Linked DNA regions of Macaca mulatta. The protein of the gene in region 1 interacts with the protein of each later gene in a pairwise test. Links are inferred from orthologs where the notes say so. Each region holds a gene or a part of one and is shown on either strand. Other genes may lie near its edges. The genes, in order: APTX and XRCC4.

The links.
Region 2: the proteins of APTX (region 1) and XRCC4 interact in binary tests that used the Homo sapiens proteins (3 or more experiments, as listed by UniProt). The link is inferred for Macaca mulatta from reciprocal best matches to the Homo sapiens genes APTX and XRCC4.

The regions. Positions count from the first base shown.
Region 1 is NC_133420.1:66,398,179-66,404,943, reverse strand, and holds the end of APTX (aprataxin), read right to left. Parts: intron 4,129-6,765; coding exon 4,025-4,128; intron 2,932-4,024; coding exon of another isoform or gene 2,927-2,931; exon of another isoform or gene 2,896-2,926; coding exon 2,741-2,895; 3' UTR 1,888-2,740; downstream 1-1,887. UniProt on the Homo sapiens protein: DNA-binding protein involved in single-strand DNA break repair, double-strand DNA break repair and base excision repair.
Region 2 is NC_133411.1:89,503,631-89,510,510, forward strand, and holds part of XRCC4 (DNA repair protein XRCC4), read left to right. Parts: intron 1-3,903; coding exon 3,904-4,059; intron 4,060-5,163; coding exon 5,164-5,270; intron 5,271-6,880.

The DNA.
Region 1 (6,765 bases):
GAGTACGTATTCATAAAGTTTCCAGCAGCAGTAAGGATTCAGATGCAGAGAGGCATGGATCAGGTGAATCCTCCTTCCCAGCCTCCAGTGAGATAAAAGCAGAGGCTTCCAGTTAACATTTATGGAGTCCTTCTCCGTGCCAGATACTATGCTAAACCCTTTACATAGATTATTTAATCCTTATAACTCAACTCTGTTATGTCCATTTACATATGTGAATTCTGAAGTTCAGAGAAAATAAGTAACTTACCTAAGATCCCTCAGCTCTGAGTAGCAAAGCTAGGATTGGGACCCAGGTCTGAATCCAGAGCCTGTTCTTAACTAATACGCGTATGATTTTTTCTTTTTACTTTTTTTTTTTTTTTTTTTGAGATGGGGTCTCAGGCTGGGCGCGGTGGCTCAAGCCTGTAATCCCAGCACTTTGGGAGGCCGAGACGGGCGGATCACGAGGTCAGGAGATCGAGACCATCCTGGCTAACCCAGTGAAACCCCATCTCTACTAAAAAATACAAAAAACTAGCCGGGCGAGGTGGTGGGCGCCTGTAGTCCCAGCTACTCGGGAGGCTGAGGCAGGAGAATGGCGTGAACCTGGGAGGCGGAGCTTGCAGTGAGCTGAGATCCGGCCACTGCACTCCAGCCTGGGAGACAGAGTGAGACTCCGTCTCAAAAAAAAAAAAAAAAAAAAAAAAAAGAGATGGGGTCTCACTCAGTCGCCCAGGTTGGAGTGCAGTGGTGCGATCTCAGCTCACTGCAAGCTCTGCCTCCTGGGTTCACACCATTCTCCTGCCTCAGCCTCCCAAGTAGCTGGGACTACAGGCGTCTGCCACCACACCTGGCTAATTTTTTTTTTAGTAGAGACAGGGTTTCACTGTGTTAGCCGGGATGGTCTCGATCTCCTGACCTTGTGATCTGCCCGCCTCGGCCTCCCAAAGTGCTGGGATTACAGGCGTGAGCCACCATGCCCAACCAATTTTCAAAAGTTTCTGTGCCTGCTACCTGATGACTGCAAAGAAAAGGCCACATGCCCTCTGCAGCTGGGTTGGGGAAGAACCTCCAGGAGCCACAGTGTATGTAGACAACCACCTCAGGAGAGGAAACAGACAATCGAGCAGGCCCACAGGTCCAGCATCAAGCCAGATAGAAGAACTGTGGATGGATGGACTAATGACGTTAAGGATTACAATCCTGGAGTGCAGAAGGAGCAGAGAAAAGAGATGAAAGACATTGGGTAGTGAGAGATGGACAAAAAGGGCTAAAGGAACTGGCTGATCTCAGGGAAATCAATGAAATGCCACGGAAAGCTTTTGATCAGCACAGGTCCGAGGCCCCTGGGTTCTACGGCTTCTGCTGTTAGTCTTGCATTTATACTGTTCAACTGATCGGAAAAATAATGAGTTGATGCATCAGACTCAATACCAAATTTGGATGGTGCCCAGGACCCATTATAGAATATGAGATTCTCATCCATTAAAGGGGCATAACAATAGCACCTAACCTCATAGAGTTATGTACAGAGAGAATTCAATGACATCATTTGAGTAAAGTGTTTAGCATAATGCAGGACACATAGGAGTCAGACAAATGTAAGCGGCTATGATCATTAATTATATAATTCTTACTATACCCATGCTAAGTAACCACTGTGGCATCTTGTTTGTTTGCGAAAAGGTCAAATGTCTCTATGGACTGTGGCTTTTTCTCTCCAGAAGACGCTTTGGTTAAGGGTGTTTACTTTTTTCTCACAACTTGAGTGAAAAGTCCCACCCCCAAAGATATCCACAATTTGATCAAAAACAACTTTTTAGCTTTCCCTTCACCTTTAGTTTAATATTATCCCAAAAAACAACTGAATACAACTGTTTTATCCAAATTTGTTCTCAAGGAAAAATAAAGTAGTGGCTCTGTGCAACTTTTTCATTCACCAACCACCTTTTCATGCATTAGAGCCTATGCTGTAATTGTCAGCTGAACTTCAATAGTTTCCACCTACTTAAGAGAGATGCCTCAAACAAATTAACTTTATTTTCAGACAACAGGTCCAAAACGACTTCACAGCTGAATCATGACGAACATGTGGCTGTTTCCTCACAGCCAGGAACCCTTGATATTAGAAGAAAACTCCAACCCCCCACACCCTCATCTAGCCTCTTTGCTCACAGTGAAGAACTGATGAGACAGAATTCCTGAGAAGGGAACATTTAGGTAATCTAAGATAGAAGGGAATGGAAGGACTGGACAAAGTAAGCCTCCCCACGAAGGAAGGGAAAAGAATAATATTACATAACAGACTAACAGAAAACAAGGCCCATCAGTATCTTTAGGATAAACAAGAGGCCACTCTAGGTGCTCTGATTAAAGGGTGTCCATGCCTACAGAGGTGGAGGATAAATCTAAGAAACATAAATTTATAACCAGCCCACTGCTTTCATATTCTCCCTTAGGTCAGTGTGAACATAGCTTTGCTCCCAATGGTCAGACCTGACATGGGTCCTGAAGATGGTGAGTCAGGTATATCCCAGCCACCCTCACCAGAGAATATATCTATGACAAACCCCAATTCCTAATCCTGAACTACTTCGAGCGACTCTACATTGTGGCCACTCAATAACAGAATAAACTCTGTGAAAAAGCTGCATGTTTTCATTTAGGAAATGAGTAGAAGTTCACAAGCAACCCAGAATAGATGCCAGCAGTTTGCTCCAGTGGGCCACACCGCAGCAGCAGCTCAGGCCCTGCAGAATCACTGTGTCCAGTGCTTCCTGAGATGTTCTTTCAGCTGAGGAATGGAAGGCAGCAGCTGCTGGCACTCATGACAACGAAGGGGCAGCTTCAAGAGCTCAGGCATCCCATCTCGGACAGTCACTCTACCAGCCTCTTGTACCATCTCGATCACAGCTGCAGGCAAGGAAGAAAAGTCAAATCCCAGCTACTCTGGAAAACCCATATGAGATACCAAAAATAAAATAAAATAAAAAACATGACTCCAATCAGTATGCCAGGCCAGGTATTCTAAAGCTCGGTGAGTTTAGTTTAGACTTCCCTCAGGCAAAATGAGCTTAATCAGATTATAAATAGGAGCAATCGACCTTTGAAATAATACACTCCTTCAGGACACACTCTAGGCAATCCATATTACTTTGTCAAGAGCTCATCACAGTGCTTTACCTCTAGTTGGCCCTTGGTAAATGCCAGCTGCCATTGTGAACACCCCAGCAATGCTTAAGCTCTTACACATCAGGAAAGCATATCCTGGTGTGTAAGAAAGCATTACACACCAGGAAATGCTTTCTTCTACATATACACAGCCTTCCCCCTGCTATTTCACCACTCCTGACAGGAGGCAGCCCTGAAGCTCATACCCAACTGATGGCAGAAGAGACAAAGAATTGTCCACAGTTTTCTTATCCATGAACTCCACTAATCCTCACGGCAGCCTTTAAGTCCCCTGTTGTCACAATAAAACACTGACCCTGACATAATAGCTTTCTAGGTCCCCCAAGAAGACAACTCACAGCAAAGTGGCAATAATACTACAATCCAAATAATCCAGTTTCTTTTCACAGGGCTCGTTTTTTTTTTGTTTTTTTTTTTTTTTTGAGACGGAGTCTCGCTCTGTCGCCCAGGTAGGAGTGCAGTGGCCGGATCTCAGCTCACTGCAAGCTCCGCCTCCCGGGTTTACGCCATTCTCCTGCCTCAGCCTTCCGAGTAGCTGGGACTACAGGCGCCCGCCACCTCGCCCAGCTAGTTTTTTGTATTTTTTAGTAGAGACGTGTTAGCCAGGATGGTCTCGTGTTAGCCAGGATGGTCTCGATCTCCTGACCTCGTGATCCGCCCGTCTCGGCCTCCCAAAGTGCTGGGATTACAGGCTTGAGCCACCGCGCCCGGCACATGGCTCGCTTTGTAGGGAACACAAAGTTGTACATAGGTCTTTGAGGTCAGGTTGTTATTCAGGGAAACAACCAAATTAAATATAAGAACAGCTCAGAAAACAAAACAAATGTGAAAACCAAGCAACACTGTTTACCTTGTGATTCTAGGAAGTATTCTGTATTGAAAGAATTCCAATGTTTTTTGTTTTTAAGGCAAGGAGAATCAAAATCCTGGCTGATCACATGAAGATGTACATGGCTAGTTGAAAGAAAAAAAAACTGAGCATTAAACTCTTTAACAACTATGGCTTAATCAAAAGGACAAAGAGTATGAGTACATTGTATTCATACTCTTTGAATATTCATACTATTGAATTGATAGTATGTCCATTTAATTCAATTGATTCATTCATTTACTTAAGAATATTCAACGCTCAATAAGTAGGTACTATGGCCAATAACTAGGTACAGGCACTGAGACTTTAGCAAGAAACAAAATGGGAAAAGCCTCTGTCCTTATAGAAATTGTATGCTAATGAGGAAAGACAAATAATAAGCAAACAACAACAAAAACTTAAAGAATTAACATTGCCAAGAAAAAATAAGGAAAATGGGATAGAGTGCCCGGGAGTAGAAGCTGCCTCTTTAGTTAACAGTGTTCAGGGAAAGCATCTCCCAGGAAGTGATTTGAACTGAGACAGCAGCCAGGCAAGCAAGGTCTGTGGGAAGAGTGTCTCAGAAAGTGAGGAGGCCAAGAGCAGGGACCCTGAGATGAGGAAAAGCTCAGGGCAACTAAGAAACAGAAAAAAGGTAATATGGCCCAAATGTATGGCCTGAATTGTTGCAGCCAAGCAGCAGACACGAGGCAGAAGCCAGGTCATAAAGGCTCTTAAAGGCCAACAAGGGGTTTGCATTCTATTCTGAATCTACTGGGAAGCTCTTGAAGGATTTTCAGCCAAAGAGTGCTATTATCTGATTTATATATATATTTTTAACAACAAAAAATTTGAATGACAAATTTTAAAATGGACCACAATTTAAAAGTGGGCCTATTTTAATTTTATTATTCTTAAATTCATTCTTTTGAAAATGCGACCAGATGCGATGGCTCACGCCTGTAATCCCAGCACTTTGGGAGGCCAAGGCAGGTAGATCACTTGTGGTCAGGAGTTCAAGACCAGCCTGACCAACATGGTGAAACTAACTACTAAAAATACAAAAAACTAACTGGGCGTGGTGGCAGGCACCTGTAATCCCAGCTACTCAGGAGGCTGAGGCAGGAGAATCACTTGAACCTAGGAGGCGGAGGTTGCAGTGAGCTGAGATCGTGCCGCTGCACTCCAACCTGGGTGACAAAGTTACACTCCGTCTCAAAAAAAAAGAAAAAAGAAAATGCACTTTATTTTTGGAATGATAAAAGATTTCACTATGAACTGACAAAGTAGAGGTGGGCTGATACTGGTAGGTCAATTCTTCATGTAGATATTCAAATGTTGTTTTCTGTATTACATCAAAATGATTTGCAACAGGAAACTGGAAAAGGGGAGCAAAGCAGACTGCAAAGCATATACTGAGGTCTTTCCATAGGTATCTGATAGAATGCAGATTCAGCACAACAAAACGTAGACTTTGCAGCAGTGGCCGGTAAGTGTATTGCAAGTGTACCCTAAGAACCTATATAAAAACCATTTTTTTCTTATTCCTAACAGAAAAACAAATTTTGTTTTGTTTAAACAATAAAATGTAATGGAAAGATCTGTACTATATAACTACTTGCTATAACCATGAGAACACTGCATGTTCTCACTCATATGGGGGAACTGAACAATGAGATCACTTGGACACACGGTGGGGAACATCACATACCGGGGCCTGTCGGTGGGGTGGGGGGCTCGGGGAGGGATAGCATTAGGAGAAATACCTAATGTAAATGATGAGTTGATGGGTGCAGCAAACCAACATGGCACATGTATACCTATGTATTAAACCTGCATGTTGTGCACATGTACCCTAGAACTTAAGAGTATAATAATAAAAAATAAAAAATAACTTGTTATAGCCCATGTGTTCAGTTTGTTCAACAACCTTATTCACACATGATGAATTACATGAACAGAAAGTCACCAAATAAGGCTCAAGACAAAAAAATTATCTATCAACCTCCATATGAAAAGACCACAGCTTTAATGATTTATACAATCCTTAAGCTTAATACTTGGTCAGTATAGGTTTCCAAATCAAAATCAAGTCATAGGCTGTTTACAATAACTGCATTATACTAACATTTTATTTCCAGTATTTCTTCCCATGAGGGAAAAAAATCATCAGAAGCTTTCACTCTTGAAAAGTCTCCTAAACTAAAACAGTGTTCTTCTCCAAAATGAAAATACAAAGTCAAACAGTAAATAAACAAAGCTAAGCTAATTTCAACAGTCATATTTCCAAAAGTAAAATCTATTAAGTACAATACACCTGCACAAGAAATTACAAGAAATGATTACAGTTACAGATGCAAAATAATATCTAATTATCCCAGTCCTGTGAACATAATTAAAATCAAATTCATATGCTAGTTCAAATATTATGTACAATTTAGATAAGCTGGTCAAGTATTATTTGAATATACACCATATTTGTTAAATCTAAAATCATATTACCTTTTCTCTTCCTTTAATATTTGTAGATACATGCCAATATGAAAAAAAAAATGTAATTTCCATTTATGTATTAACAGAGAATTTCTACTGCATGTTTCAAACTGTTAAAAAAAAAAGTCAAGGTACATTTTCACTTAAGAAAGAGATAAAAATAAATTACCAGAATTTTAATTGATAAAAGTTTCATATCAATTTATAAAAATGACCCAAGCATGTGGCTTGTACCTATAATCCCAGCT
Region 2 (6,880 bases), on another chromosome or scaffold:
TTTGTTATTGTTTTGAAATGTTATTCTTATATTGTTTTCCTACCCAGAGATATTTTATTTTGAATATTCAGTATTTTTGTGTAATTTTTTTGTCCTTTTAATTTTTTTAAAAAATTACTATTTTTTTTTTCTGTCCGAGGTTTTAGATACCTCAGTGCTAGGTTACTAATTAAATTTAGCATTATTGTTCTATTTTCCTAGTTATTGTAGAAAGGATGAATTATCATTAGACCTTTCTTGTTTGGTGTTATTTATGATTTTGTTCCAATTTGAGATTTGCCTGGATGTGATCCTTGAACTAGTGTGGTCTGATCTAGTTGTGCATGGGCTTTTTGTTAGTGTCACCAGACTTAGCAGTGAATCCCATGTCTCTTCTCCACTAAATGTTCTCACCTAATAATTCCTGTCTAATTCTTGAGGGATAAGCTTGACAGGAAGCATGTAATGGAAGGCATAGTAACATCATAATGCTCTAGGAGAGGATTGGCATTAAAAATTAGATGGGAATGATACTACGTACCTCTTAGTTACTGATTAATGGATAAAAGGATAGCATTCTCTGAGTCTTGAAAAATTAAGAATTAAGAGTAAATTCATGTCATGCAACTGTTCACACAAGTACTTTTTCTCCAGTTAGCTCCTACTCCCCCACTTTTCTAGGAAGTGTTGTCCAGTTTGATCATCAGAAGTTTGGTTGCAAAAAAATCCTAAAACTTTGCTGAAACCAAGCAAGGTTAACTCATATGATAACATTCATTCTATTTACTTTGTTTCCCTGTCACAGAAATGTTTCCTTTGACAGCATAGTTCTGATACTGGTTACTTAAGATGAACAATATTCTTTAGGAATATTATATGATATTTCATTTTTATATTTATTTTCACTTTGAATGTGTCACACCAAATGTTAATTTTAATAAAGGTTTGGGAATTAGCTTGTTAATTGTTAATAACGTACACAATCTTTCAATAAAGAATTATCGAAGTGACTTATATGGAAATTAAATATGGACTTAAACCAGATAAATTACTAATTGGCTACCATTCCTAAAATTTAATATAAGAAATTGTAATAGATTTGTTTATGTTTTCACATGTTGGTTTTTACTTTGTATATGTTTGAAGTATGTTATTATATACTCAGGTATTTCAGTAATATATATGTTTTAAAGTTTTTTATTTTTTTTTTGAAAATATTATAGGAAGATGAGAATATCATGCTTACATAACACTGAATCTGAAATATAAATGTAGTGACATATCTTTGCTTAAAATAAACTATCAATATTGCTAGCTCCTTTTCAATATTCAATTTTTTTCTAACATCTTTTCATATACTTCTGTCTCAGAGAACTTTGCTGAATGAAGGGAATACTGCTAGATTGATATTATTTGACGCAGTTTTTTAAAAAGCTGAAGATGAAAAATATTACTTATACAATGGTGAATAGCTATTAAATCAGTGAAAAAAATGCAATATTCAGAATCACTGTTTTTCTGTTTCCTTATAAGATGTCAATATTAGCCATTCTCCTTGGCTCTTCTCCTTTGCTGGAGGGCTATAGTCAGACATGGTGCCCAGCAGGAATGGCATAATCCTGAAGCTCCACTTTTATAAGAACTGGCAGTGGCCCATAGCGACATGGTTCACCCAGCCTGCAAGGAAGAGCCACAGACATGAGACCAGAGAAGTCAAAGCCCACTGCATTGCCCGGTGCCTTGTATCTGGACCCATTGGCCCCTAGTAAAATGTCCCACATGAGGTTTCACACCAAGTACAAGCTGGCAGGGGCTTCAGCTTGGAAGAATTAAGGGTGGCCAGCATCCACAAGAAGATGGCCTGGACCATTGATTTCTCTATTGATCCAAGAAGGTGAAACAAGTCCATTGAGTCCTTGCAGGCCAATGTATAACAGCTTTAGGAGTACTGCTGGAAGCTTATCCTCCTTCTCTAGGAACCTCAGCCTCCAAGAAGGGAGACGGCTACACTGAAGAACTCAAATTGGCCATCACACTGACAGGACCAGTAATGTTCATATGGAATACCTATAAGAAGGAGAAAGCCAGAGTCATCACCAAGAGGAAGAGAACTTCAAGACTGCCACATCAAACTGGGTGCAGTGGCTCATGCCTGTAATCCCAGAACTTTGGGAGGCTGAGGTGGGCGGATCACGAGTTCAGGAGTTCGAGACCAGTCTGACCAACATGGTGAAACCCTGTCTCTACTAAAAATACAAAAATTTGCCGGGCATGGTGGCGGGCGCCTGTCATCCCAGCTACTCAGGAGGCTGAGGCAGGCGAATTGCTTAAAACCAGAAGGCGGAGGTTGCAGTGAGCCGAGATCGTGCCACTGCACTCCAGCCTGGGCAACGAGAGTGAAACTCTGTCTCAAAACTAAACACAAAACAAAACAAAAACCTGCCATATCAATGCCTGGCTCTTTGGCCTCTGGGCAAAAAGGACCAAGGAAGCTGCAGAACAGGATGTTGAAAAGAAAAAATAAAGCACTGTTGAGGCCTTGTAATAAATCAGCAGTAAACCTGGGAAAACAAATAAACCAAAAAGATGTCCATATTAATTTACTCACTTTATTCGTTTGTCTGATAAGAACCTACCAAACCTCTGTAGAATGCTAAACACTATGCTGGGCACTGAGGATACCATGGCCAGTAAAACACACATGCTCTCTGCTTTCCTGGAGTTCACATCCTTGGCAAAGACTATGCTATAAGAATTTGCTGAAATTGGTCCCAGAGAATATATTGCCATATTTTCCTTTTTATCCTATGAGAGGTTTGAATTCTTTGCATCTCTAGATAGGTAGATTGTTGAAAGTTTAAGGGTGTGTATATAAAAGGTATCTAATTTGGACATTTGTGTTTCTAATTTCACTGAAATATATATGTGTGTGTCTGTATATGTACACACATATATGTTACTACTGGTATATGTGTGTGTGTGTGTTTATGTACAGCATAAAAATACTAGGATACTTGTATATCGAACAACAACAATGTAAATAAGCAGTATAAAACGACATTGAAAAGAATACATAAAATAATTTGTATTTGAATCTCTAAAATAAGAATGTATTCATCATGTATGCGTGTGCACATTTTAAGTATATACAACCTCAGCTATTTTGCTTTCTTTACTTTATATCTCTCTTGGGAGCTTAAAATAAATACAAACCCTGTTAGCTCATTGAGCAGTGTAGGACGAATTATAAACAATAGAGAATTTTATGTTTTGTCTCAGGTATCTAAATTTGAAGATACGTAATGTTTTACATTTGCTGTTTTATTAATCTCTCCTTGGATATATCAAGTAGAATACTTTCATTGTATGTGTATTGTGTTTCTATATGTATTTGTATGTGTGTGTGTGTGTGGTGCTCGCTTATAAGAATATAACTGGATAAGTCGTGTTCTTGTTGTAGAGCAGTTCATTGTCTAGTAGAGCAGTCAAGACAAATTAGCTGTATTGCCTTATCACAAAACAAGATTGTAGTTGCTTTTATAGTAATATTAACATAGTACTGAGGAAACACAGGCTACATTTACTCTTGTTTGAAATTTATCCCATAAAAACATTCTTTTGTAAATAAACCATAGATGTCAATAAATTATTATCTTTAGGCATTTTGATTTTCTAAAGGCTTATTTGTATCAATTTTCAATTTTGATCCTTATCTCAGTACATGAATTACATGAATAACCAATAATTTCTAATTGTGTATTTAACCATCTTTATAAAACTTTTAAGTCAGTGAAAGCATATGTGAAAATAATCTTTAATTGTATTTTCTTTGAAAAATTTTATTGAAATCTTCTTGATTATTAGATTGAATTATGTTAATGGTAAGCAGAACTGCATGACTAATTTGTTTACTTACTTTTTCAGATTTGAAAAATGTGTGAACGCTAAGGAAGCTTTGGAGACTGATCTTTATAAGCGGTTTATTCTGGTGTTGAATGAGAAGAAAACAAAAATCAGAAGTTTGCATAATAAATTATTAAATACAGCTCAAGAACAAGAAAAGAACATCAAACAAGAAGGGTATTTTGGCTATCTAGTTTTTGGATGACAGATGTATAAATTTAAGTGGAATTTCTTCCCAAAGTTAATGAACATTAGGTGCCAACTTTTTGGTCATATGAGATAATTTGGTAGACTGGATGTGGATGCTCAGGCTGTTAGACGGGTGCCATGGGCTAGAGAGTTCTCAGCATGCTCGCTCCATGTCTGCTCAACTGTCTCACCTACACTTAAATTTAAAAATTGACATGAGGCTTATTAAAGTATTATTTAATTCTTAGACATTAGTAAGAAATATTAATTTAAAAACCCTTTCATCTGCAGAACTACAAAGTTGGATGCATATTTGTAATCTTGATGTCTAGGCAATAGTTAACTTTTGAATCAAGTTGTTAATATTAAATTCCAGGGAGCATTTATTTTACCTGATTACAGTGTGATTACCAATCTTATTCTTCTTTAACGTTTTCTCTGAGAGTAGATATGTACTTGATTTTTATGGAAGAATCGTAAGTGACAAATGGCTGATATGGGTTTCAACGATTATAACTTTTTTACACATTAGCAAATACACGTTAGGGTCTATTGCTTTGAATCTTAGTAAAAGTGCAGAATTACTAGTGACATAGTATAAAAAAATTTGATATCAGCTAGTCCTAGTTCAGGTACTGGTCTTGCAGTCATACCTATTAGTTTATAGCTTTGGACACATCACTTTTTTTTCATAATAAAGGTAAAGATACCCATCTTAGGGCTTTGCAGAGATCAAATGAAATAAGGAACTGCTCTGAGATTAGTAAAATGTTAAATACTCTGTGACTCACAGAGATAATTTGGTAGAAAAAAGTATTTTGATAGAAGAATAGTACCTGATAAGAAACTGATTTAATATTAATTATAATGAGTACTAAATTCAGATTAAAATTGGGTAAAAGAGAAACTTGTTCTTAAGAGAGTTAATATATAGGTTTTAAGATGCTTTCATCTAAGTCATATAAATTTTCAATATGTTTGTCTAATTAGAATCTTTTTCCAGAAATATTTTCTATAATTACTTACTGGTAAATTTGCTGCCTAGCAGGGGGTGAGCCAATGATTTATAATTCTACCTGTCTCTGTTTCTAGGGAAACTACAATCTGTTCTGAAATGACTGCTGACCGAGATCCAGTCTATGATGAGAGTACTGATGAGGAAAATGAAAACCAACCTGATCCCTCTGGGTCGGCTTCAGGTAAGAGAGATATAAATTTATCTCCTTTGTTGAATATCTCACTTGGGCTTCTTACTCTAATGACAAGAAACCATAATGGAAAAATGTTGTGAAAAACCTTATTCTATGAAAATTCTTTAGCATTTTTATTTTAAAGACTCAAATTTTTAATGTTAAAACTTAATATTATTTGTAAAATGCAGCAACTCGTTAGCACAGCAATGTGAGCCAGCATTAATACACATATACTCCAAGGTATACTATTCCTGGTTAAATATAACCAGGAAAAGCATAAGCAATGAGGAAGATACACCTTTATGCTAAATATCTTCAGCTTAAAGCTGGTTGCCTTTAAGATTCGAGATTTTATTTAGCTAAAGCCATCGATAGGCCACTGGAACAAAGTAATCAAGAATGCTCTAAATTATACGAAAGCTGAGGCCTTCTTTCACTCTTCAGAAAAAAGGATTACAACAAGTGAGATGTGGTAGAGGAAAAGAGAAGGGGAAAAATGGCAGTTTAGTTTGAAGTACCTATGACTTAGTCCTTTGGATCAAGTTTCCAGCAAGCGTTTAAACCCATGAGTTTTTTTTTTAAATATTTTATAGATTTCTTAGTGGCAGTGGAAACAGGAGCCTCTGAACTCATTTTATGCTTAATTTTGACCTAAAGCCAATACTATAAAAATAAATGTTTGATTTATTTATTTAGAAAATATTTTTGAGGTCCTATTATGTACCAGAAACTTTGCTATGCATTAGACAACAAAACAAAAAAATCTGTGCCGTTGTGGAGTTTAAATTGTAATCAGGAAAATATATAAGATGAACAAATGTAAAATATGTTAGGTCGATAAGTGCTAAAGAGAAAAATAAACCAGAGAAGGCCGATAGAAAGGTCAGGGTGAGAATAAGGATGAGCGTTGTGATTTTAGCCAGGCTATCAGAAAAGGCCTCAGTGAGAAGGTGAAAGTGACTTGGCTATCTTGGGGAAGAGCATGCCAAACAGAAAACAAAAACAAAAAAACAGTAAGTACAAAGTTCCCGATGCGTTTAAGCAATAGTACAGAGTGTAATCTGGATAAAGTAGAAAGATGAAGACTGGGAGAATTAGGAAATGAGATGAGAGAGATGATAGGACCTCATCATGTGTAGGGTGAGGTAGGCTACCATTAGAACTTCTCTTGTTACTTTGAATTAACTTGGAAACTACTGAAGGATTTTAAACAGTCAAGTGACATAATCTGACTCAAATTTCAACAGGATTAGTCCGTGTGTTGTATTAAGAATAGACTATAGGATGACAAGTGCAGAAGAAGATATAACAGATGGGAAGCTAGTACAACAGTTGGGTGAAAGATGAGACTGGCTTAGACCAGAGTGATGGAGAGGTGATGAGCAAGGAGCAGATTCTAGGTATGCTTAGAGGCAGCAGGTTTTGCTGAAGAAGGGGTTTTGACTGAGCAAGTAAGACTGAGAGGGAGCATCCAGGAGGTAAGAGGCAAAAATATAAATGTGGTATCCTGCTGATTGATGGATTTAGCAATACAAATGTTATTAAGGATCTTAATAGAACATATTCACTTGGTTGGTGAAGGAAGGAGATAGGAGAGAATAGGAGTTTCAAAGGGA